4 linked regions of the Arabidopsis thaliana genome follow. The protein of the gene in region 3 purifies or fractionates together with the protein of the main gene of each other region. This does not show direct contact. Each region holds a gene or a part of one and is shown on either strand. Other genes may lie near its edges.

What was found.
Region 1: the proteins of AT3G49000 (region 3) and AT5G62950 fractionate together in Arabidopsis thaliana (co-fractionation; one large-scale study listed by BioGRID). This does not show direct contact.
Region 2: the proteins of AT3G49000 (region 3) and AT4G01590 fractionate together in Arabidopsis thaliana (co-fractionation; one large-scale study listed by BioGRID). This does not show direct contact.
Region 4: the proteins of AT3G49000 (region 3) and AT4G25180 fractionate together in Arabidopsis thaliana (co-fractionation; one large-scale study listed by BioGRID). This does not show direct contact.

The regions. Positions count from the first base shown.
Region 1 is NC_003076.8:25,261,504-25,266,631, forward strand, and holds AT5G62950 (RNA polymerase II, Rpb4, core protein), read right to left. Parts: upstream 2,551-5,128; 5' UTR 1,868-2,550; exon of another isoform or gene 1,652-1,867; 5' UTR 1,531-1,651; coding exon 1,523-1,530; intron 1,445-1,522; coding exon 1,327-1,444; intron 1,248-1,326; coding exon 1,095-1,247; coding exon of another isoform or gene 1,020-1,094; exon of another isoform or gene 993-1,019; coding exon 852-992; 3' UTR 676-851; downstream 1-675.
Region 2 is NC_003075.7:687,656-692,659, forward strand, and holds AT4G01590 (DNA-directed RNA polymerase III subunit), read right to left. Parts: upstream 2,788-5,004; 5' UTR 2,730-2,787; exon of another isoform or gene 2,592-2,729; 5' UTR 2,538-2,591; coding exon 2,330-2,537; intron 2,252-2,329; coding exon 2,123-2,251; intron 2,037-2,122; coding exon 1,983-2,036; intron 1,907-1,982; coding exon 1,860-1,906; intron 1,780-1,859; coding exon 1,687-1,779; intron 1,582-1,686; coding exon 1,530-1,581; intron 1,442-1,529; coding exon 1,422-1,441; 3' UTR 1,158-1,421; downstream 1-1,157. Other genes in the region: AT4G01595 (Protein kinase superfamily protein), read right to left, coding at 3,325-3,393, 3,736-3,882, 3,971-4,120, 4,197-4,253.
Region 3 is NC_003074.8:18,160,501-18,166,837, reverse strand, and holds AT3G49000 (RNA polymerase III subunit RPC82 family protein), read right to left. Parts: upstream 4,279-6,337; 5' UTR 3,936-4,278; coding exon 3,864-3,935; intron 3,790-3,863; coding exon 3,636-3,789; intron 3,544-3,635; coding exon 3,431-3,543; intron 3,326-3,430; coding exon 3,253-3,325; intron 3,088-3,252; coding exon 2,936-3,087; intron 2,794-2,935; coding exon 2,653-2,793; intron 2,551-2,652; coding exon 2,458-2,550; intron 2,334-2,457; coding exon 2,222-2,333; intron 2,064-2,221; coding exon 1,905-2,063; intron 1,827-1,904; coding exon 1,789-1,826; intron 1,719-1,788; coding exon 1,626-1,718; intron 1,541-1,625; coding exon 1,457-1,540; intron 1,364-1,456; coding exon 1,211-1,363; intron 1,127-1,210; coding exon 992-1,126; 3' UTR 852-991; downstream 1-851. Other genes in the region: AAE3 (AMP-dependent synthetase and ligase family protein), read left to right, coding at 5,544-5,747, 5,941-6,337.
Region 4 is NC_003075.7:12,910,759-12,916,581, forward strand, and holds AT4G25180 (RNA polymerase III RPC4), read right to left. Parts: upstream 3,282-5,823; 5' UTR 3,150-3,281; coding exon 3,123-3,149; intron 3,007-3,122; coding exon 2,942-3,006; intron 2,848-2,941; coding exon 2,784-2,847; intron 2,742-2,783; exon of another isoform or gene 2,541-2,741; intron 2,352-2,540; coding exon 2,327-2,351; intron 2,175-2,326; coding exon 1,957-2,174; intron 1,863-1,956; coding exon 1,799-1,862; intron 1,671-1,798; coding exon 1,576-1,670; intron 1,490-1,575; coding exon 1,274-1,489; intron 1,150-1,273; coding exon 988-1,149; 3' UTR 792-987; downstream 1-791. Other genes in the region: AT4G25170 (Uncharacterized conserved protein (UCP012943)), read left to right, coding at 1-82, 172-277, 357-631; QWRF7 (QWRF motif protein (DUF566)), read right to left, coding at 3,642-3,698, 3,844-3,954, 4,056-4,145, 4,237-4,473, 4,551-5,243.

The sequences.
Region 1 (5,128 bases), on a different chromosome or scaffold from region 3:
ATAAGTTATGATTCACAACATCATGAGATTTTCAGTCTAGTCCTATAATATTGTGATATTTGGAAAAAATGAAGTATATGTAAAATGGAGTTGATGTAAGTTTAAGTTACATACTCTTAAGGATTATATGTAAATTTGTACAAACAGGAAAATTGGATACTAAAAGAAGCATATCAGAAAACAAAAATTTAAAACTTCCTAACAACTTGGTTTTACCCAAACCGAAATAAATCACTTCCAAACCAACTGATCAAAGAAAATGATCTTCCTTTACCGGGATCACGACTGAACCAGCACACTAATGAACATAAACCATGTCTAATTGAGATCACAAACACTACAAGAGTATTATATTCAAAATTCTGTCTATGTATTTCTTCTTGAATGTTATTCTGATTATGCTTCAACTCAACCATATGTATGCGGAATTTGAATATTTCTACCATATATTTATCATTATAGCTCAGTGAAACAATGGAATGGATTACATATGCTTTCATAAAGGTTGAGATACCTATTTTTGCTCAATATCAAGATGTCAAACCTTATGCTTATCCAACGAAATTTGAAATAATATTCGACAAGAAAAGTATATTAAATAAGTTGTATTATTCTCCTTTAGTATAATTATAGAACATATTCCTCTACACTTTTGTGGGTCGTACCTCTATATTTTAAAGTTTAAATCATTTAGTATGGACCTGTTTTTTTTTTCTTTGTTAATGAATGGACGTAAATTGTTCGATCGATTATCTTCTTAACTTAAAAGATAACAAACTCAATCTAGTTAATAAGCGTTTAAGAGGATGGTTACAAAATCAAAACATAAACTCAACAACTTCATTAGCACGTCACGACTGTTCACCATTCTCTGTTTCTTCTTCATCATCATCTTTAGGACTTGCAGTTGTAGGCAGAGGAGGTAACAAATCCTTCACAAGCTCTAATATCCCATCAGTGTCGATTTCTCGATCATCCAGGTTCTCTATGATCTACAAGAGAGTCACAATCAACAAATGTTATAAACCATGAAGAAGAGAAATTAAATGCAGTGATAGAAATGGTAGTGTATAAGCTAGAAACAACAAACAAACCGGTAACAGTTCGACTATAGAAGAAGGCCGGAGATTGATGATATTGAGAATCTCAGCTTTAGCGAGTTTGAAATCTTTACACTTGTCTGCGAATTTGTTAATGCTCTCTCGTGTTTGAGTGGAAGCAGCAGTCTCCACCAAATAATCATAGACCTATAAAGATCATTCCAATTAGCAACAAAAGTGCACTCTTAAGACCAAATCAGAAGAGAGATATTGCAGGCAAGAGAACCTTGTATTCTGATCTAGCAATTGGAGCTATAACTCTTGTAGTATCTTTTGATGCACCTCTCGAGTTAAGAAAGTCAAGCACTTCGAAATTGGTCAGTGCTCCTGCATTTGCCTTGACTCTGCAACAACCACACCAAATTTTAACTACAAAAATAGAGAAGGAATCGAACAAAAACACAATGGAAGATGGATGATACATTTTCATCTCTTAGGTTGAGCAGAGAGACTTCAACCACAGGAAGCTTTTTCTTCAACCAAACGAAGTCGTTTTAACAATATGGGAAGAGAACAACACTAACGATGCTCCAAAATCAGAGTTTTTGCTCCTGAAAAATTCAATGGGAACATCAACATCAAGGAACAGATGATTCTCGTTCCCACAAATCATGATGCAATGGGAACATCAACATCAATAACGTTTCTAAATCGAAAATATTTAGGTCACGTTCAGTACTAAGCACCTTAATATGAATCAAAGCTTAAAGTGAAACCCTTGGATTCGATCAAAAATAATGACCAATTTAAGGGAAGAAAATAAGTACCTTCTCTTCTTTGACGGAAAGGATTAGTTCAAATACTAGAAGTAGCTCGCTGATTGACTCACAACACACAAAATATCAACGTCACGTAATTAAGATCAATTACTAGTTGGATTTGAGTATTACCAAAGCTACTAATTAAGATCAAACACATACATGAATCTGTAAAAGTAAAATCTAATACGAACCCAAACCCACCAAAATCTAACACCAACTCAAACCCACCAAAATCTAACACGAACCCACCAAAATCCGTCGATAAAAACGCCAACCCAGATCGCTATTTCGCTATGGTGACAAAAAAAAGAGTAGAATCAAAGAAAAAGAAGAACAAAAACTTCACCTTTAGGGATTGAAAAGTTAGGGTGGCTGCTCCTTCACCAAGCTCTGGAAGTTTCTGTTTATAGTCAGATCAATCCTTTGAATTCTTCAACTCTTATGGCTTCAGAGAAGTAATAAAAAAAAAAAAAAAGAGATCGAAGAAGAAGAGCGTTTGGGAGAAAGAAGAAGAAAGAAAGATAAAAAAAATGGAATAAAGAATAATTAAAAAAGTGTAATAGGGCCAACCCTATTTTAGCCCGTAACAATTTAAGTATAGCCCTATCTTAACCTAAAATCTTTTATTAGGGTTAGGGCTTATATCTTTTAACAGACTCGGGCCGGCCCTAAATTATAAGCCCATATTAACATCCCTAATTAGAGGAGCTCCTTCGAGGTATGATTCAGACGGAGATTGAGACCACGATTTGCTCCAGACGGTGGCGGTGAATGAATCGGTAGAACGACGTCGTTATTGTCAAAAGTAAAACCCTAGAGACCAAAAAATAAACTTAAGCTGGGCCTGTTTATCCCATAAAGAACATTTATGTGTTATTGCATCCACGGCCCTCTTCAGCTTGATGGGTTATAAGCCCAAATACATGTCCCAATGCTTGAATTGTTGTGTGTTTAGCGTTTGCTTAGTTATTTTTAAACTATGCCAAACGCTTGACTTGTTGTCTGTGCGTTTGCATTTACACTTTGCAAAAAATATGTTATAATTTCCGAAAAATATGATTTTAAAAAAAAACTTACATGTAACATAAATAGTTTGAAATCTTTCTAAGAAGTAACTTCATAAATAACTAAGGTGAAATAATCATAATCCTACTATATTATTTGGGAAGTACATTTTAAATGTAATCTTATTTTTTGTAAGTAATTACATAGGTATGCCATTAGAAATAAAATTTAAAGAGTAAATTAATTCATCTCTTTAAATATTAAAAAGTTAAATACTAATTTAATTAATTAAATTTAATTAAAAAACGAAATACATTATTAATTTTTTTAAAAAGTAACCAATTAAAATCAACAAATTAGATTTGATATCTAAATTATCATATTAATTTTTTATTAATTATTATAGTTCACCTCTTATCTTTATATGATTATATTTTTGCGAAAAAATAATATCATCGTTATAAAAAATAATTAGATTTTTTTCGCATATGCCATAATTTGAATTTTTAAAAACGAATATAAACTGTTCAAGACATGAAAAATACTATAACGGGTCAAAAATAGATTTAAGACAATTTTCTACTGAGTATTGGGTCATAATTTGCAAACTTTTATATATAATAAATAATTCTTAATATTTTAAAAATTACTACTTTCAAAAAAAAATCACGGGACGAGTAAAGAAATTACAGAACGGGTTTTATTTTGGAATAGAGTTATATGGTGGATGTATTTGAATCAATATTTATAAAAATTTAAAATATTATTAATATGATGTTTTAATAAGAGTTAAAACTTCAGTTTTTTAACAATTGTCTCATGGACTCGTGGTATAGCTTTCTTAATAACAATTGTAAACTGTAAAATATATATATATATATATTATTATAATACAATTTGCAAGTTTTAATATATATTACCTTTAAAAAATAAATCGTCCCGCGGTATACCGCGGGTTAAAATCTAGTTTTTTGTTTAAAATATATGTCAAAATTTTGTATGTTTAAGAAGAGTCTTGTAAACTTTTTGAAAATCAATTTTTATATATTGTATCATTTTTTATGCGGCGTCTCGATGAACGACAAATATACCAATACAAACCTAACTCTTATTTCTTAAGAATAAAAATCAATTCAGTTTTAAGCAAATTAAAGGAATTAGGACACATGATTCTTGCTTTGGAGAAAAAAGCACTTGAAACATGTAAGCTAAGCTAACTAACTGCCTTTTTTAAAAACCCCAATTTGGCAAGGCTCCTCTCATTGCCTTTAAAGCTCCTCATGCTTTCCACCCTTTCTTAAATCTCAAATTACATGTACTTATATTTTCTTACACATTTCAATATATATTTTGGTTTGTTATATAAACATCATCTTTTTGGTTTATTCAACATTTTTTTGCTTCTTCTTTTGTTTCTTTGTTTCTTTTTTTTTCTGCAGTCTTGCAAGAAATTTGTGAACCCATGGCAGGTACCAAACTCATTCTCTTATTTTGTTTTAATGTGAAATTCCTGAGTTACTATGAGCGTTATATATTCAATGAATCTTAATTAGAAGTCGTTAGTGCATCCAAATTCTTACAAATTATACACAAAAATAAAATAATAAATCACCAAAATCCCAGGCATCTTTTCCTCTTACGTATCTTTGATAAAGACAAATAGTTATTGATTATAGAGTTATATTTTAATGTAGTTTCGTATCCTGTGGAGGCTATTTTAAAGATTTAAGTAGTTACTTTTGAAAAGAAACCTTGTGAGTTTGTTCATTAGATAATAGAGACAAAAGATGAAAAATTCTTATAACTATGTGTTGTCGAATTGAAAATGGAATGTAGTAGAAGTAGTAGTAACGTGAAGAGAACAGCAGTTTTGTTGCAAACGCGTTTACTTAGACGCGTCGCTCTCGTATCTTGCACGCTCTTTTGGCTTCGTTTGCAACAGCTGTCTCTCTGTCACACATGAATCCTCTTCTTAACCTACGTAACCGACCTGTAGCCTCACCTGTTACATATGACAGAAAAATAACAAATTTAATTTATTTAGCTACTAGTTTCATCCGTAGCCAGTATCTATTAATGTATATGACTAAAATAAATCTAAAATTTTAATCATTGGAAACTCATTTTGGTGTTCAAAGAAATATTTAGTAACAAGTAAATCATAGTTAATCAGAATGTCAAGTTAAAATTAGAATCAGGAATATGACAGCATTTTTCTTTGACGACAAATGTAACAAAAATCCAAAAAACTGAAGAAAAAAT
Region 2 (5,004 bases), on a different chromosome or scaffold from region 3:
TAAAATCCGCCTCCTTGAGTAGCTTTATGAACCCTAAGTTATTTAGGCAATTTCATACTTATTGGCTTAGTTAGGAGGCGTAAATCAATTCTGATCATTCAATACTTTTCTGTATTGTTTTGATTCGTGGCTTCTTTGGTTTTTGTGGAGAAGCTTCTTTGTGTTTTCTTAATTCAAATCAAAGCTTCTTCCCCAAAAAGTTTCAGACAGAAGAATCTGTGTATAGAGTGATATGTATATGAATAGCCTCCGAATAACGGGAATGTGAAATATAGGAACACCTTCTTGTTCAGACAGAGGCTTATATCAAAATCCGAATCAGTTTTGGGTGTGAAAAAGCTCTCTCCTTTTTTGCCCTTCAATTCCAAATATCCTTCAATGGATAGATTCGAATATCTACTGAATTGTTCTTTCAAGTTTAGTTTTATTGTTTTTTGTTTTAATCTTCTGATTAGGCTCTAGTAGTTTTCTCTAGATTACTTTGATTTGGACAGGAATTAGGAGCCAATGTATATGTATCATTGTAATTAGGAACCAAGACACATTATTGTTTGCCAAAGCTTTCACTTGAATTAGCCAAATAGTTTCAAGAAACAAAATGTAGCAAAAGGAATGATGTTTAAGAGACGAAGATAATATAAAATGGGTTTGATTAGTAGTAACTGCACTATCAATTGATAAAACTCTTGTATAAGAAGATTCTGTGTACTTCTGTAAAAGTAAAAACATGAAGCCTCGTGGATATCATGGGATAACACAATAATAATAACAGGCTACAATAGAAGTTGGATTACATGAACACAGGAGGTAGTATCACAACAGTTAATAATATACACCTCAAAGATTCAACGAGATTGGTCAAGATCATCACAACAGTGAAAAATATACACAACTAAGTTTCAACAAGAATGGTGAAGATCGCTTGCTCAACACACGTAACCGAACAGCGTTACGTTCTTAACACATGATGAAAACTATGCAACAACGCTTCCAGAATGATTTTAATGGTTTCAGCTGGAATTAATGCAGCAATACAAGAAGTGTAAAGCATTGGGAGGACAAAGTTTGATTTGCTTTGTTAGCTTGAAGAATTTGTCTAAATTGAATATTAGTCGAATCAAATAGACATCTTGTGCGAAATGTACGACACTAAAGCTCAGTGGTTACTAACTTTATGGAAGATTAGTGAAATTCTTGAGTGAAGAACGTAAAGCTCTGTGATTTTCAACCAAACAGAAATTTGTACGCTTGAACATGAATTTCATATTCTTCAGTTCGAGGGGATGGTTCCAATATGATAAGAACCAAGGGAACAAAACAAATAAATGCCTTGAGAGTTTTTAAATAAAACTAAAGCTTGGGACAGGCTTAGCTTCTCTTGACTGCAAAACTTGATTGTTTTGGGAAAAAGGAGAAGCAGCTTAATACACCTCTTCAACTACTGGCAAGAAAAGAGAGAAACAAAGTTAGCTAGAATCATTTTTAAAGTTTAAAGGATGCAATCTTAGAATAAAGATGATGACTCTTACATCCATCATCCTCGTTATTATAATCGTCGTCATCATCATCAAAGTCTTGATTCTACAAAAAAACATTCAAGAACAAAGTTGTTAAGTAACTTGAGAAGAAGAAGAAGAATCACACAAGGTATCAATTCAAACATTAATCTGAAAAATAAGCAAAAACCTGATCATAATCTCCGTTATCAGATTCTTCTCCTTCTGATTCCACAACTTCTTCATCATCTTCCCCTTCTTCTTTCTCTTCCTTGCCTTCAACCTAACCAAACATAATCCAAAACACATTACTGTCAAGTGCTCTTAAAAAACCATTGAACCGTTAAAAGTTTCACTAGTTACCTTAAACTTAGCTTCAAGCTTCTCAAACACATCCAATTTCTGCAAATCTATGAAACAAAAACACAGAACTTAAACTTCTCGTTACATTGTTGAAAACAAAAACTAATAATAAAGACAATGTACCAGCTTCTTGACTCCATTTAGCTCTCTTCACAGGCCGTTGTTCTCTTCGAGTATCTGAAATCGCATAATCCAAATGATAATCAGCAAGATGAAACTAAACACATCTAAAGAGTATTGAGATGGTGGAAACAAAAACAAACCTCCAAGAAGTTCTTTAGGGAAGTTATCAGGTCTAAGAACAAGAAAATCAAAGAAAGATCCATTCTTATTAGACTTCATCTTCGGCTTCAACGAATCTGAGTACCTCTCAATGTTCAAACTCTCTTTCTCTGATGATTGTAAAAAAGAAAAGAAAAAGCTTTTAGCTTTAAGCAGAGATTACAAAGACAAAAGTATAAAGTTGATACCTTTCTTAGAAACACCACCATCGCCTAAGTGATAAGGAGAATTCCTCCAAAACTTATTGAAAGTAAAGTAGCTTTGAACTAATTGCGAGTCTGTTGAGATTGATTTTGGATCTGGTAACGTAATTTCAGGGAAAATCACAAAAGGCTCAGGCTTGCCATAATCGCCGCCATAGCCTTTTGGTTTTCCTCGGGCTCCTTTCCAAGACATGGACACAAATTCACCTTCGAAAACTGTGGCGGCGAGAGGAGAAGAATAAGAAATCTGGGATAAGAGGAAAAAGAAACGAACCGTCTTGAAATCAGTTCGATTACGATGGAGTTATTCAGAGACGAATCGAGGATTTAGAAGTGAACATCGAAATTCGAATAGCTAAATTAGGGTTCAGGGGAAGTTTCATACATGGATCTGCAGGACCAAGAAGGAAGATTACAGTCTTTAGAGCAGTGGCGGATTTCGTAAATATTAACCTTTAGATGGGTATTTCTTGAAAAAAAAAACAGATTAGTAAGCGCAAATTTTCTCGATGGGCCTTAGAGCAAGTCCACTAAGGGTTTTTAGTAGATTTTTATGGTGGGTTTTTAACCTGAAATGGGCCCAGTTGAACAAAAAACACAACAATTCAGTTAGAAACGTTCCTAAAATTGGGTTTTTCGCGACCCATACGTGGCATCTTTTTATTGGGTTAACTTATTGACAAAACCAAAAAAAAAAGCTTCTCGCGTTTATTCTTTTCTTCTTCTCTCTTTTCCTCTTGTGTCGCCGACGGAGACACAAAATCGATTGAAAATTTCGACGCCACAAAATCGATTGGAAGTCTTAGCTAGGAATCGAGAATGCTATAGCTAAAAGTTGATTGATCTTCATATTCGAAATTTACACAGCAGGAGCTTCCAGCTTGCAAACCAATTCTTACGCCTGGTTGGGTAAGCTTCTCTTCGTATTACTCTTGTTTGAGTCTCCCAAGTTTTGTCTTTGAATCGCTATCAAATTTATCTTATTCCTTATCTCTTTTTCTGCAGGTGATTTCAACTCTTGTTTTGTGGCCCTTGTCACGGCTTCGAATCTACACAATGATGCCTGGTGCTTAAACTTTTTATTGCATACTCTGGTTTAATCACTCACTATACCAATATATATGCTAATAATTGTGGTTCTAATCACTAATCAATGAAATGCTGTTTCTAAAGTTGCGTACTTGGTTTAGATCCTATTGTGGTTCAGTTTGGGAGAGAACTTGTTGAAATAAAATCAAAAGGTTATCTTTCACAAGATCTAACAAGTTCAGTTGGTCTTGAAAGGAAATGCCGTGAGATTGTTGTAACAGATGAAAGGGAGAGAAGATCGTGGGCATTGGATCTGAGGTTCTAAGAATCTAATTACAAAGTGAAAAAGACAGAATAGAGACCTCTGTAGGAGTCGGTCGATCGAAAGCCAACAGCCTCTGCAAAAGACGGAGTGCTAATGGATCTGCTTTAGAGAATTTTTGCGAGAAGGTGACATGATTTTTCTTCCTCATTTCAGTCAAGTATTTTCTAGCTTTATCATTACGAACCTGCATCAGAGAAATAAATGTTTAGCTATACAGTTCAATATATATACGTACTCCAGAAATTAATGTGAAGAATAAAAACGGATCATACTCCAGAAATTGCATCTGATTTTGGTGTGCCAAGAAGATCAGTAATCAACTCCAACTGATGGACAACACTTTTTCCCGGAAACAATGGCTTCCATGTTAGTACCTCTGCAAAGATGCAGCCAATGCTCCAAACGTCGATAGCTGGAGTGTACTGCAGAATAATATTAACTATCAACGATGTAACATAAGGAGACAAGAACAACAAAGAAAACTGTATGGAGCTTCACCAAGCCAAGTTGATTATATACATCTGTTGAAACCGAGTTGATCATGGTAATATTCATCTCCCTCCTGTTTCTTACTTTTTGATATTGAACTCATTCGAAAACTCTTCTAATTTTCTGATATTGTTGATTATACAGCCTCACCCGGATGTCAAGCCAATGGCATATGCAAACAATGATTAAAGATGTTCTCTCTTCCTTTAAGCTTATCCAGCAACAGTTATTCTCATGTAGATTCAGTTTTTCCCTTTTTCAATTTTTTTTTGTTTTAGAAACCCACTTAAGGATTCCATCAATGGTCAATAAAATTTTCAAAAACTCTAAAAAATCTCTAAACTACTAAACTATCCAAATTTATTAATAAAAAATACATAGAAACTTTACTTAGAAACTAATCATTGGATTTGCTATTACTTACTAATCTGTTTATTTTACTTAAAAACAGATTATTTTATCTTCAAATTAGCTTACGAATCTGTTTTTTTCTCTCCTAGAATTAACAACTGCGTTTATGTTGTGCGTTATGGTTTTATAAATTGTTAGGAATTATGAGTTGAAAATTTAATCTTTGTTTAACCTCTTATGAGTAGTAGTAGTAATGGTTTAATTTATTACTACTACTCGAAGACCCAACCGAATCCGATCCAAAAAACACGAAAAACCGAACCGGACCTGACCCAAAAAAACCAATCCGAATCTAAACCCGAAATTTTAAAATATTCCAACGCATCCTACACTTTTAAACCCGAAAACCGGAAATCCGAACCCAAAAAACCCGATCCGAACTTGAAGTCTTAAAATACCCAGACGG
Region 3 (6,337 bases):
ATTTATGGAAAAGACCGTATCTCACATCTCTACTTGCTATAGTTTCCTCTTATTTCGTATGTTTTTTTCTCTATAGTCTAAAAATTTAAGCCTAAATTGACACAATCGAAAAGCATCTCTTTAACCTGCAAAATAGACATAGCAGTTCGTCTGCATTTGAGCAGTTCAACCCGTTATCATCTTCCAACCTTACGCTGTCTTTTGTAATCATGATTCCTTATGGTCACAATTGACGCTTCTGGTTGCTTCCTTTATAACTCTGCAATTTCAAACTTACTAGGGGTAGATTTAACTTCATGTTCATGGTTTGGAGTAATTCTTCCTTGTTGACTTGTGGGATTGGTGCAGCAACCTGAGTAAAGAAACCTTTGTATAGAAGATTGAACATATTGAAGGGGAGTAGCCAACTGCTATTTGCTCATAGTTGAGTGGAGGAGTATCAGGCAGGGGAGGTTGGGAAAGAGATGTCAGAATTCTGAGATTGAGAGTTCTCAACATGTCTATGATGTTTACATCAATATTATTTCATATCTTCCGGATTATTGAAAACCCATCGATCTCTCCTTTGGACAGATAGAAGAGAACACTTTTCCATGAACTGTCTGAAGCTGTTGCACTGAAGGATTGAGAGGTCAGGCAATCAGACTTAAACGACTCTTTTTTTTTTTTTTTTTTTTTTTTTTTTTTTTTTCAAACTCAGACTTGGACGACTATTAGGCTTCATTAGACTCTGTATCACCAAAACCCGATTTTGCAATTCATCCCAAAGCTCATCAGCCATAGACCATAGTAAAGGAAAAGAAGGTTTTCTGATAGAGATTAAGAGTTTGAAAACTTAATCTGAAGTATATAATAAACAACATTTCTCTCGAAACAGTATCAATTACCTTCAAAGTTACAACTTCTCATTATGTCAAAAAAAAAAAAAAAAATGCTAGAAGACAATGTGAACTAAATCGACCAAAAGAAATTAGTTTTTGAATGTATGAGTTTAAAAGTCATGAAAAAGCATAATGGCATCATCAAGTTTAAACATAGTGGAAGAGAGTAACAGCCTCTTGGCTTTGACCTTTTTCAGTCTCTCCTTTAATGGTCCTTCCAGTTTATCTAATGGCAACAACAGCAACTGCCACAAAAGCAATAACAGTTTTTTTAGTATCTGGACCATCTTGAAACACATTTGGGTTAATCGATTTGCAGTGTGACTAACCTCTTTTTCGGCTTCTAACTCATGGGCCAACCTAAGACTCAAGTTAAGGGACGCATGGTACATCTCATCCAACATTTGAGTTGTCACAATCAACTTGTTTACCTTCCACAACAGAAACGGTGTATACATACCCGGAGCTGTGACCGCCAATTTCTACAAAAATGAACAGAAGATAACAACAATGAATCTCGTAACAACCAATTCGTTTTACTTTTGATAATGATTTGGTTTCCAAACTGTGAATACCTGCATATGTAAGTATCCGTCTTTCCACATCTTTAAAAGGAATTGCGGTGTATCTTTCTTTTCAGTCAGCGCGGCATCAGCAATCTTACAGAGAGAAAAAAATGATGAAGTTAAGAAATCATTATGACTTAAGATGTTTCTATATGAATCATAAAGAACAGTCATTAACCTTATCGGTCTCAACAAAACGCCCTTCCTGTGATAAGTATCTGAACATTCTGAAAGCTTCTTTCCCATATCTTCTCATCACTACTGCCTCTATCTGGAAACATCTCAAAGATACCGTTTTTAGTTTCAGAAATATATCAAGAAAAGAAAAATATGAAACGCACCTCATCTTTCTGTGCTACGCTGATAATGGATTTATAATCTGCAAAACCAAATAACAAAATAATATTATTTTGAATACAAGAATCATTTGACTAGATTTTGAATGGAGTTACTATACCAACTATGTATGAATCATTCACTTCGTTCACAAATGCTGGTAGATAAGAAGACGTAGCACTCAATTGGTCAAGGCATGCTTCAACTCGCTCTTGTAACATAGTGCGACCTGCTTCTGTCTTAATAACTTCTTCATAAATGGAACCAACTGACATTGGAGCTGTTTCAAAGATTATAGCAAATTCAGTTAACAGAACTTCATAGGTGGACTTTTGGTGGAGAGTGCAAAATAATTCACACCAAATACAATTTTAACTTCAGCATATTATGATTATGTTAAGATATTGAATGAAAATGAGTGAGAAACTCAAATATTACCCGAATTGTCTGTTTTCACCTTCTTCTCTTGCGATCTTCCTACTTCTAACATTGCCCTCAAGACAATGGCACATCCTTCATCCCGGCGCTCTTTCACTATCTCCACACACGCCTTAAACAAAGAAACAAGTGGTTAATAGATTGGAACAGTAAGACATTCGGAAAGCAAAATTTGAAATGCCAATGAGCTTTTTTCCTCATCAAACAACCTCAAAAGAGAAACACGGATAACTAACCTTATGTCTAAGGCGGTGGATGAACTCCTCAAAATTAGGACGCCAAATTACTCCACTGCTCGAATCTGATGTGTCCACATCACGTTGTTTACGCTAAAATATTCGGTTCAATGAGAAACATCAACAAAGGTATTCAGAGCTACATCATTGAAAAATGTATGATTACAAGATTGGTTATGGTACGAATGTTGATACCTTCCCCTCAGTGATGTTGCTATTGTCATCTGCTAAAGATGAATTGGAATCTTCTTCGAATATAAGTGGAAACCTTATTGCGTCAACTGGAGTTGCTGCTTCAACAACTTGTTCCTCCAAGGTTTCTGGTTCTTTAAGAATCTACACCGTTCCAAGAGATTTATTAATATCGAACAGAATAGAAATAATATCAAAACTGAGAGTCATGTCTCTGCAATTTGTAGGTCTGATATATCAGACCATGTATAGGTATACCAAACACCAGAAAGAAATTATCAATTACCTTGGCAGCTTTAGCGCCTCTTCTCTTTGCCGGCTCTTTTTCTTTGTTTCCAAGAACAGGTTCGGGAGAAGGAATGCGCTCAACAAAACGGGCAGCAACCAATTTCTGAAGAGAATCTCTGATTGCTTCAGAACCTATCGTATTTCCTGAATCTGATCATGTATGAAGAAAACATATATAACAGCATGGAATCCATTCCGCTCGAAGCATTACTGTAATCAAAACGAGATACACAAAGGCCAAAAGCCAATGCCTACGATGACGAGTGTAAACTGTGGTAACATAACATAAGAGGTACATATGATATCACGACTCACCTCTATCTCTTTCAATAAACTGTCCCAAGGTAAGCCTACCGTTACTAAGTAAACCATCAAGAACTGCACCGCACTAAACATATAAATCAAACAAAAGTATAAGATTAGCATTAGAGTCTTGAAGCATAAACCAACTAATCAAAACACTGAACAGAGAGAAGAAGAAGCACGATTAAACCTTGGAGTCAAGTTCTTCGTTTACAATCCTCGAAAACTTGTTATACCTCACACGATGCAGAATGTTGTTAAACAACACAATATACTGTACAATAGCTTTGCTCTCAGAACCATCTACAAAGTAAAAAAAAAAAACATACAAAATTACTTTCATTGAGTTCTCTATTTCTGTGTGTTGCTACTAATCAAACAATATAGAGACTAACCAGGAGGTTCAATGGAGAAAGCTTGAACACAATTGTGCTGAATCAAGAGATAGAGAATATCTTTAACTTTGTTATGGTTGATATCTGATTCAGCTAAACGAGAGATGTCTCGTGAGGAAAGAGGTCCTTTACGTAGAAGACATTCACAAACTTTCTGCAACCAAAACCAAATTCGTTATACAGAGATTATAAATTCAACACAAGTCTCAGAAGGGTTTCTCAATTTACCGAGACGACGGAGCCGAATTGGACGGTGATGATATGGATGGCGTAGACAATGCCAAACTCAGACATAGACATGAGAATCAATCACCAGGAAGTCTCTCAATACTGATGAAGCAGCCTCTGCAGAGCTTGACGGAGTTATGGCCGATATAGAGATGTTTGCCAATCGATTGTAGCCTACTACTACTAAAAAGCGAAGCAATCGTAATCTAGCGACCCTAAAGTTTAATTTTTCCAGCGATCCACACGTTCGAATCCAAAATTTCGATAATCTAACATGAACCCACCAATATAAGTATAAGAAAACACCAACCCAGGGCTAGGGCTTTTGTTTTTTATAAGGACTCGGGCCGGCCTTAAATATTTAGCCCATTTTAACATCCCTAATTGTAGGTTATTAATTGTTGGCCTAGAGAAGTTTGGGCCTATCAGGCCCTAATAAATTGAATGTATGGTTTGACCCAAGAAAAAAAATTAGTGATGGAACGAAATGTACTTGAGAATTTTCAATGATTGGGCCAGATGACAATGCTCTACTTAAGAAGAACAAACACAAACCAAATTCTTCTATTGTATTTGTATGTGACGGCTTACATGAAGACCATGTTTTTACTTAGTTAGGAGAATGGAAAATGACTTTTTCAGCTTCATGAATATGACTTATATTTTAAAACACTGTCGTTTTCATCTATACGAGATTTTTGTATTTCTATTCATAATCATATACATAATTTTAATCTTTAACAAATAACAAGGTAAACTAAATCTTTGATTAGTAAATTCTACTCTGACTCTCTTCTAAGCTACGCATGTTTAGTGGTTTAAATTAGTTTCATTGTTGAATAATTATCCAAATCCACTATTGTTTAGTTAGATAGTGTGCATGTATCAAACCAAATAAAATAATATAATAATTTGTATGTATAGACAAAACAAAATTGATTACTTCAAAAAGATATATGTCTCATTATATTTAGTCTTCTACTTTTTTTCTATAAATAATATATTTATTCTTATCATTCAAAGTCATTTTTACCATTTCTTATTTTAATTTTACATTTTTACCTTGGTCAATTTAATTTATTAACAATCAAAATAAGGACGTTATCTTCTATTTATAATATAAAGTATAAACAACGTCAAGCATCTTCGAAACGTGATAATCCTAGTCAAAGACACATGTGCAAAGGCCCTAAAAGTGATTAAACACTCATAGGCTATTTTTTTAATGAAACTATTCTTTTGTTTGATAATACATACACAAACTATTTCAAATTCCTATGAAATAATTCATAAACCGTAAATTACTATCGCATGCTTGCCGAAAAAAAATATTTTCAAAAGTTAATTAACTAGCCGTTTCGGTTCAGTGTTTGTACCGGAATCGAAATTAAAAAAACCACCTCTTCAAAAACCGAAACGTCGGTCTAATCGTAAGGATATATATCAGCGACTCCCACCGTTAACAAAATAATTAAAAATGAAAACATTATGACCACACGATCAATAGAAAATCCGCTACGATGATAACACGTGGCATCATCTTTTAGCCATTTTTTGCTTCCACAGATACTGTAGTAATTGAATATAAATTTATAAATATCGCATTTGCTCTCTTCTCTGCTTTCACATTCTCTCCTTCCTCATCATCGTTACTCTCGTGTTTATCTCTCCGACGTAACCATGGATAGCGATACTCTCTCAGGATTATTGGAAAACGTCGCCAAAAAATTCCCCGATCGCCGAGCTCTCTCCGTTTCTGGAAAATTCAATCTCACTCACGCGCGTCTTCACGATCTAATCGAACGCGCCGCTTCACGCCTTGTCTCCGACGCTGGAATCAAACCCGGCGATGTCGTTGCTCTCACCTTCCCTAACACCGTCGAGGTATTTTAAGAGGTTTTCATATATTTCGATTTAAAAGCTTCGTTTCTGGTTTTGTTTTGCGTGCTGAAGAATCACATGGGAAGCAGAATTTATGAATATCTGTAAATCGCTTCTTAATTGAGAAATTTTGATTTCCGGATTCAGATGATTTTTTTGGATGAATTTGGTTTTGATTTTTTTTTTTTGTTTTCAGTTTGTTATAATGTTTTTAGCGGTGATAAGAGCTAGAGCCACGGCGGCGCCGTTGAACGCAGCGTACACGGCGGAGGAATTTGAGTTTTACCTCTCCGATTCAGATTCAAAGCTATTGTTAACCTCTAAAGAAGGAAACGCACCGGCTCAAGAAGCAGCTTCAAAGCTGAAAATCTCTCACGTCACCGCTACGCTGCTTGACGCTGGCTCGGACCTTGTACTATCCGTTGCGGATTCAGATTCCGTCGTTGACTCAGCGACGGAACTCGTTAATCACCCGGACGACGGTGCTCTCTTCCTCCACACTTCTGGCACTACGAGCCGTCCAAAGGGTGTACCGCTTACGCAGCTCAATCTAGCTTCATCCGTCAAGAACATTAAAGCTGTGTACAAGCTTA
Region 4 (5,823 bases), on a different chromosome or scaffold from region 3:
CCATTCAAGAACGTTAAAGCCTCATGCTTATGATCAGGTTTACAATGCTTTTGACCTACTACGAACCGAACCATCTGTCCAGGTGATACTTTCTTTTGTTTTCTTGATTACACTAAGCTCATGTTTACTTTTTGGTACATGAAGAAAGGGCTTTTTCACATTTTAATGCAGAAAATGGTAGTATCATTGTCGTCTGACAAAGCAGTTTGGGAGGCGGTGATGAACAACGATGTGGTGCGAGAGATTAGGGACTTGTACAACAATGGCATAAGTCAAGGTATAAAGAGATAATGAATTGATCAATCTAAACATTTCATTTGACAGACTTCTCAGGGGACTCAGTTTTTGTATTACAGATGAGGAAAATTCAGAAGACACCCCTAGGGAGAATAACGCAGCAACGGATTTCATAAAGTGGGTATTTGACAACACAATGGTTAAGGCCACGGAAGTGTTTGTGAAAATAACAAAGGTCGTGACCGAGCTCTTCAATTGTTACAATGGTGATGGTGTTAACAACAAGGGGAAAGATGCCAAATTCAACAATTGGCTCGAGGAAAAGCTGACCACTTCGGTCCTGCTATCCATCATCGTTATGCTGGTCGTGATGGTATCCCGAGCCTGCAACTAGTCTTGATCGTTTCAAATTAGCCGACAATACATTTGGTCTTCATCATGCTGCTTGTTTAGCTTTTGTTTCAGGTCATATTGTGGTTTGTTTGATACTACTTTGGTTCTGTACTCCATTGTTGACATTTTAGTAGATTTCGATAATAAGAACACTCTGAATGTGTCAAAATGTTGAGCATTTTCTTTTATCCCAACAACTACTGAATCTCTTATTACAAAAGAAGACACCAAGGAGGCAAGAAGAGTTTTTTTACGATCATAGTTGAAGATTAGTTTGTAGATACAGAATCTAAGTGGTCAATACTACGCTTTTTCACATCCTTGTATGAACAGGACCGGCTATTTCCAGAGCAACCTTCACTTCTGTGTTTCCATGTCTGAAGCAGGGTTCAAAAGAGACTCAACATCGGGAGTAACAGTAACAAACTTCGCTGAAGAACCAATGCGACTGCAGTTCCTCCCTTTGATGTCTATTGCTACCACATCATTAGGGATTTTTGTACCTGGACCTGGCGAGACCTGCATATATGCATAGGACCGAGAGTTAAAAGAGATGAAGAAAAGCTACAAGCGGAGGTGAATTCCAACACAGTTTCAGATATGTGGGTTCACATATAATAATGATGAGACGAAAATGACTTACATCAAAGAGGGCATCTCCAACTTTCAACTTGACAGCACCGCTCTTGTAAACCAGCATTTTGCCCATGAATCCCTCTGGTAAACCTTCAAAAGGGTTGCTTATCCCTGAACTATACTCCCGTACCGATCTCTTGGTGGTTGCTCCTGTCGTTTGCTTCACTACAGGGAGACAGTCTGGGATCTTAAAGATAAACATCTGTTTTTTGCTGTGTTGCACCTGCATGCAGCTCATAAAATACAATCAGTCAAACTCAGTGAAGAGTTCACATGTCTTCAATACCAGTTTCTTTACAAGTTTATTACCGATGTCAGACCGAGTTCTTCTGCGGAGTTGATGGTGTTCTCATCATAATCACGGTTTTTAGCCACCTCCCCAAATTCCTCCTGGTCAAGAAGTTCTAACAACACAAGAAGTAAGATTCAGTTTACAGAAAGAGGGGAAAAATGCAGGCATTTTACAGAGCAAACACATTCACACATCTGAATAGTCGGCGTAAAGCTATTGCAAAGCCGGGAACAAGCATACCTATATCACCAGAGTTAGGCTTTCTCAAAGGAAGAACAGTAGGATAGTAGGAGTTTCTATAATCCTGGCACATAAAATGAGCCAAACCTTATGTCACATAAACCAACATAAGAGAAAATGGGAGGGAAAATCTTTTTCTATCTGAAGATTCTAGTTACCCAAGGTTCAACGTAGTCATCCCCAGTTCTTGTAACAAAATTATGAACCTCTTCTCCATCTTCTTGGGCAGCAGTAACAGACGAAACAGCAGGAAGAATACTAGCAGGAGAAGACGGATTAACATCAGAATTGGGCTTGTCATCTTCTTTAGGAACACCAAAGGACCTTATTGCAAGTGGTGACAAGCTTGGTTGGAATGCAACTTCAGGAGAAGAAGCTGCAAGATTTCAAAAGCTTTTCAAGAACGATATTTAATACTATCACCTTCCACACACATGGTTTTCTAATAACTCATTTACAGAAATTAGATCAAACACAACTCGTTAAAATGAAGAATGCGAGCGAATACACATATAACTTTCAACATACCTTTCGTTTCGGTTTTGGGTCTCCTCTGGCCAGTCAGCAATAACAACAACACAAAAAAGTTTAGTTTTCAACATTGAGCATTTGGATTAAGTAATAGAGATAAGAACTAAGCCAGTATAAGCTACAATGAACATGTTAGGGGTCCTGGACCAACTCATTTCATAGTCACTTAACAAGGCAGTTAAATTGATGCGATCAACAAAAGCTAGCAAAGGAGATGAGGCAGATTCAAAACTAGTAAAGGTCAGAACCAAAAAGAAAATTCCTTGTTAGCTACGATGAAGAAAGCACACCGTTTTGGTATTTCGCATATATCATAATCTAATGTATAAGATTTTGATTATTTTAAGTGAAATTAGGGAAGTTACGATTAAACTGTTAACGAATTTTCGACAAAATTAAATAAGGAAAGAAACTAGAGAGCAAGATTTGAGAACTGAGAAGCTTCTCTACATACGCCGACGATACGTCTGTCAAATTGGCGAGATGCTTTTATATTCTCTTCATCCTCCTCAGCTTCGCTGTGTTTAGAGAAAATTTAAAGCTTTTACATGTATAAGCAGTTAAAGATTTCTACAAGCATAAACAAGAAATGATCGAGGAAGAACGAATTACGTGTTTGAGGTTGGAGCGATCGGAAGACGGCGAGAAGGCCTCGGAGGATTTGGTTGGAACCTCCGCTGACGAGAAATGGAACGGAGTAAGGTCAGTGAAACGCAATTTTCGCGGCAAATTTTTCGAGATTTGAGATGAAATTAGGAAGGAGAACAAGAAGATAGAATCAGTAGAGGTTTACCTTAGACTTTTGTTCGCCTGAATCCATGGCAGAGTCTCGCCGGTAAAAGATTCGGAAACGAGGGAAAAAAAAAAAATTGGGGATTTAGGAAAAAGATGGCTTCGAACCCGAGACCTCTGTAGTACTGAATAGCTGGATAACCAAATGACTTAATAGCGCTTTTAGTAAGTTAAGTCAATCTTTATATTTATAGCTTTGGAAATTACAATTATTATTTTTATACATTCTTTGTGAGAAGTAAACACTTCTACGTGTGTATATGTGATTGGATAGACATTTTTAGATTTCATGTCTAATTTTTTGTATAAGTATATTTTCATTAAGGTGTATGTAGAAATTGCATAACGAAATTTGTAATACACATTAACACATGGCTTCAATCGTATATATCTAGAAGTAGAAGACTGCGTCTTGAATTAGATAGCGAGTTCTGGCATCAACAACAATCCAGTTTGCAAAATGTGCAATGTGATTAACATTTTAATTACATGTCCTAACGTTTGAGTTATTAGAGAAACATTATCTCTGTTCTTCAGTCTTTTGGAGAATATGGACCCTCAAGCTACTCTCCTTTGCCTGTTAAAAGAAAATTATCTCACCATTTTAGCCTATGGAGCTTCCACATCCAAATTGAACCAATAAAAAACAAACCATTCAAGTTATAGATAAAACTACCGGACCGGTCACATATATATAATGAAATTAGGAGATAATGAATTACCGTGAAGAGAGGAATGGATAAAAGGCTCTCGTCCATTTCTTCAAAATATAACAATTCTTGATTGAACATGCCGATCAATTCTGTCAGCTCATAGAGGATTATTTCAACCTGCTGATATTTAATCACCCAAGACATTCTTAAATTAATTTCTTTTACATGTATCTATACAAAAAAAGTTAGGAAAATGATCTGTATAGATAAAGTGGACTTACTCGTGGGAGAAACTTGATGATGACGTCTTCGATCTCGTCCATGACTTCTATAGCTATGACCATTTCTTCATGTATCGACACCATATCTATCTGTAACTTCCAAATTATTAGTTTCTGCTTTCTTGACAAATACACAAAATGTTTATAAACAAATTGGTTTCCCAAAGAGAGAAATTCTAACCGTGGCACCATGTACGAGGGGTAATCGGACAGACAAAGCATGGAGTTTTCGAGTTAGCTTGCTCAACGCTTCGGAGTTTTTTGCGTCTATTTTTGACCACTCATTAAGTAAAGGCATTTGGAGGCTGAGAACTTCACGTACTTTGATATCTTGACGGAGCCTTTGAATTTCAATCAAATTTTCTACAACGTAGTTCCTCATTTTGTATATCCTAAGCCAAACCCAAAACAACTGATCCTGAAACCATTCACAGAAACAAATTAATAGATATTTATAAGATACAAATTTAAATATTTTTCATATAGTTTTTGTACCTCAACGTTGATCTTAAGGTTTGCCATAGTGGCTTCAGTTCTTGCGTTAACAAACCTCCATTGAAGTAATCTGTTTTGAAAAATCCTAAACCGGTGATAATCCTCCTCTTGTACCGGAGATACTTTCTTCTGCGCCATGAAGTACTTCAAAACTCCTGCCACCGCTCCACCGCCACCGCTTCTTATCTTGGCCTTGCTTACGGGTGACTCAGGCGGCGTCATGCACATTGAAGTCGTCGGAGCTGAGCTGGACAGAGGCGTCTTCATAGTCGAAAGTCTTCCAGGAGACAACGCCCACGCCGATGGTGAGCTGGCTCCCGGCTTTACCCCTCTCGATGAAGCGTTACTACGAGGACTACCACGCGTACGTTGCTCCAAGTACCGAGCAAACGACTCTCTGCTTCTACCGTTGTTTATCTCTTGAGATCTTGATGCGCTGTTTCTCGCCGGGATTATGTTCTCGCCGGATTTAGAGTCGGATGATCCGATGGGTCTGGAGGATCTTGTTGTGGACTGTGATCTGGTTATCATCACTCGTTTGCTTGAATTGGAAGGCGAAGAGGAAGAAGATGAAGAAGTAGAAGACGATAACGAGGCGTTTAAGGACACTGGGAGAGAGATTGAAGAGCTTATAGTCCGGCTCCGGTTATTATTGGGCGATGGAGGACGGAGTCTCCGACCGGTGGTTGCCATTTTCTTCTTTAATATATGACGACGGTTAACTATATGACTATATCATACAAGACTTATATTCGGTTTCGTTTCTCGACTCACTTGCCCCTGTCCTTAAGACTCTTATAGTAAAGCTGGAATTATATGGTTCAAGGAATCGTCTAGTCTATATACACTGGTTTGAACAATTGTGATATATAATATAGTTAGGGGTATATTATATTTAATCTGTTAGATAACGGTTGGGGTACTTGAAGATCTGTAGGAGTTGACAGCACGTAGAGGCAGAGGTAAGAACACTTCTGCATGTAGTGTGTCTACATAATAAAATATAGAGTGTATTTTTTACACACACCAAAAAGAGAGATTATAATTAATGTATTATGTCAAAGCATATATGAAGGTCAGCTTAGCTAGAGACACGTCTTTTGTTTATCTCTCGACTAAACAACATGGCGTTTTAATAAAATCAAAACTTAAAAGGTCCAATTCAGAACGGCCCCATAGTATATAGTCTACGTTGAATAAATAAACCTCAAGATAGCGTCAAACTCTTTAGTCTTTACCCAAAAATATTTTTTTTTAAATAACGTCAAAACTC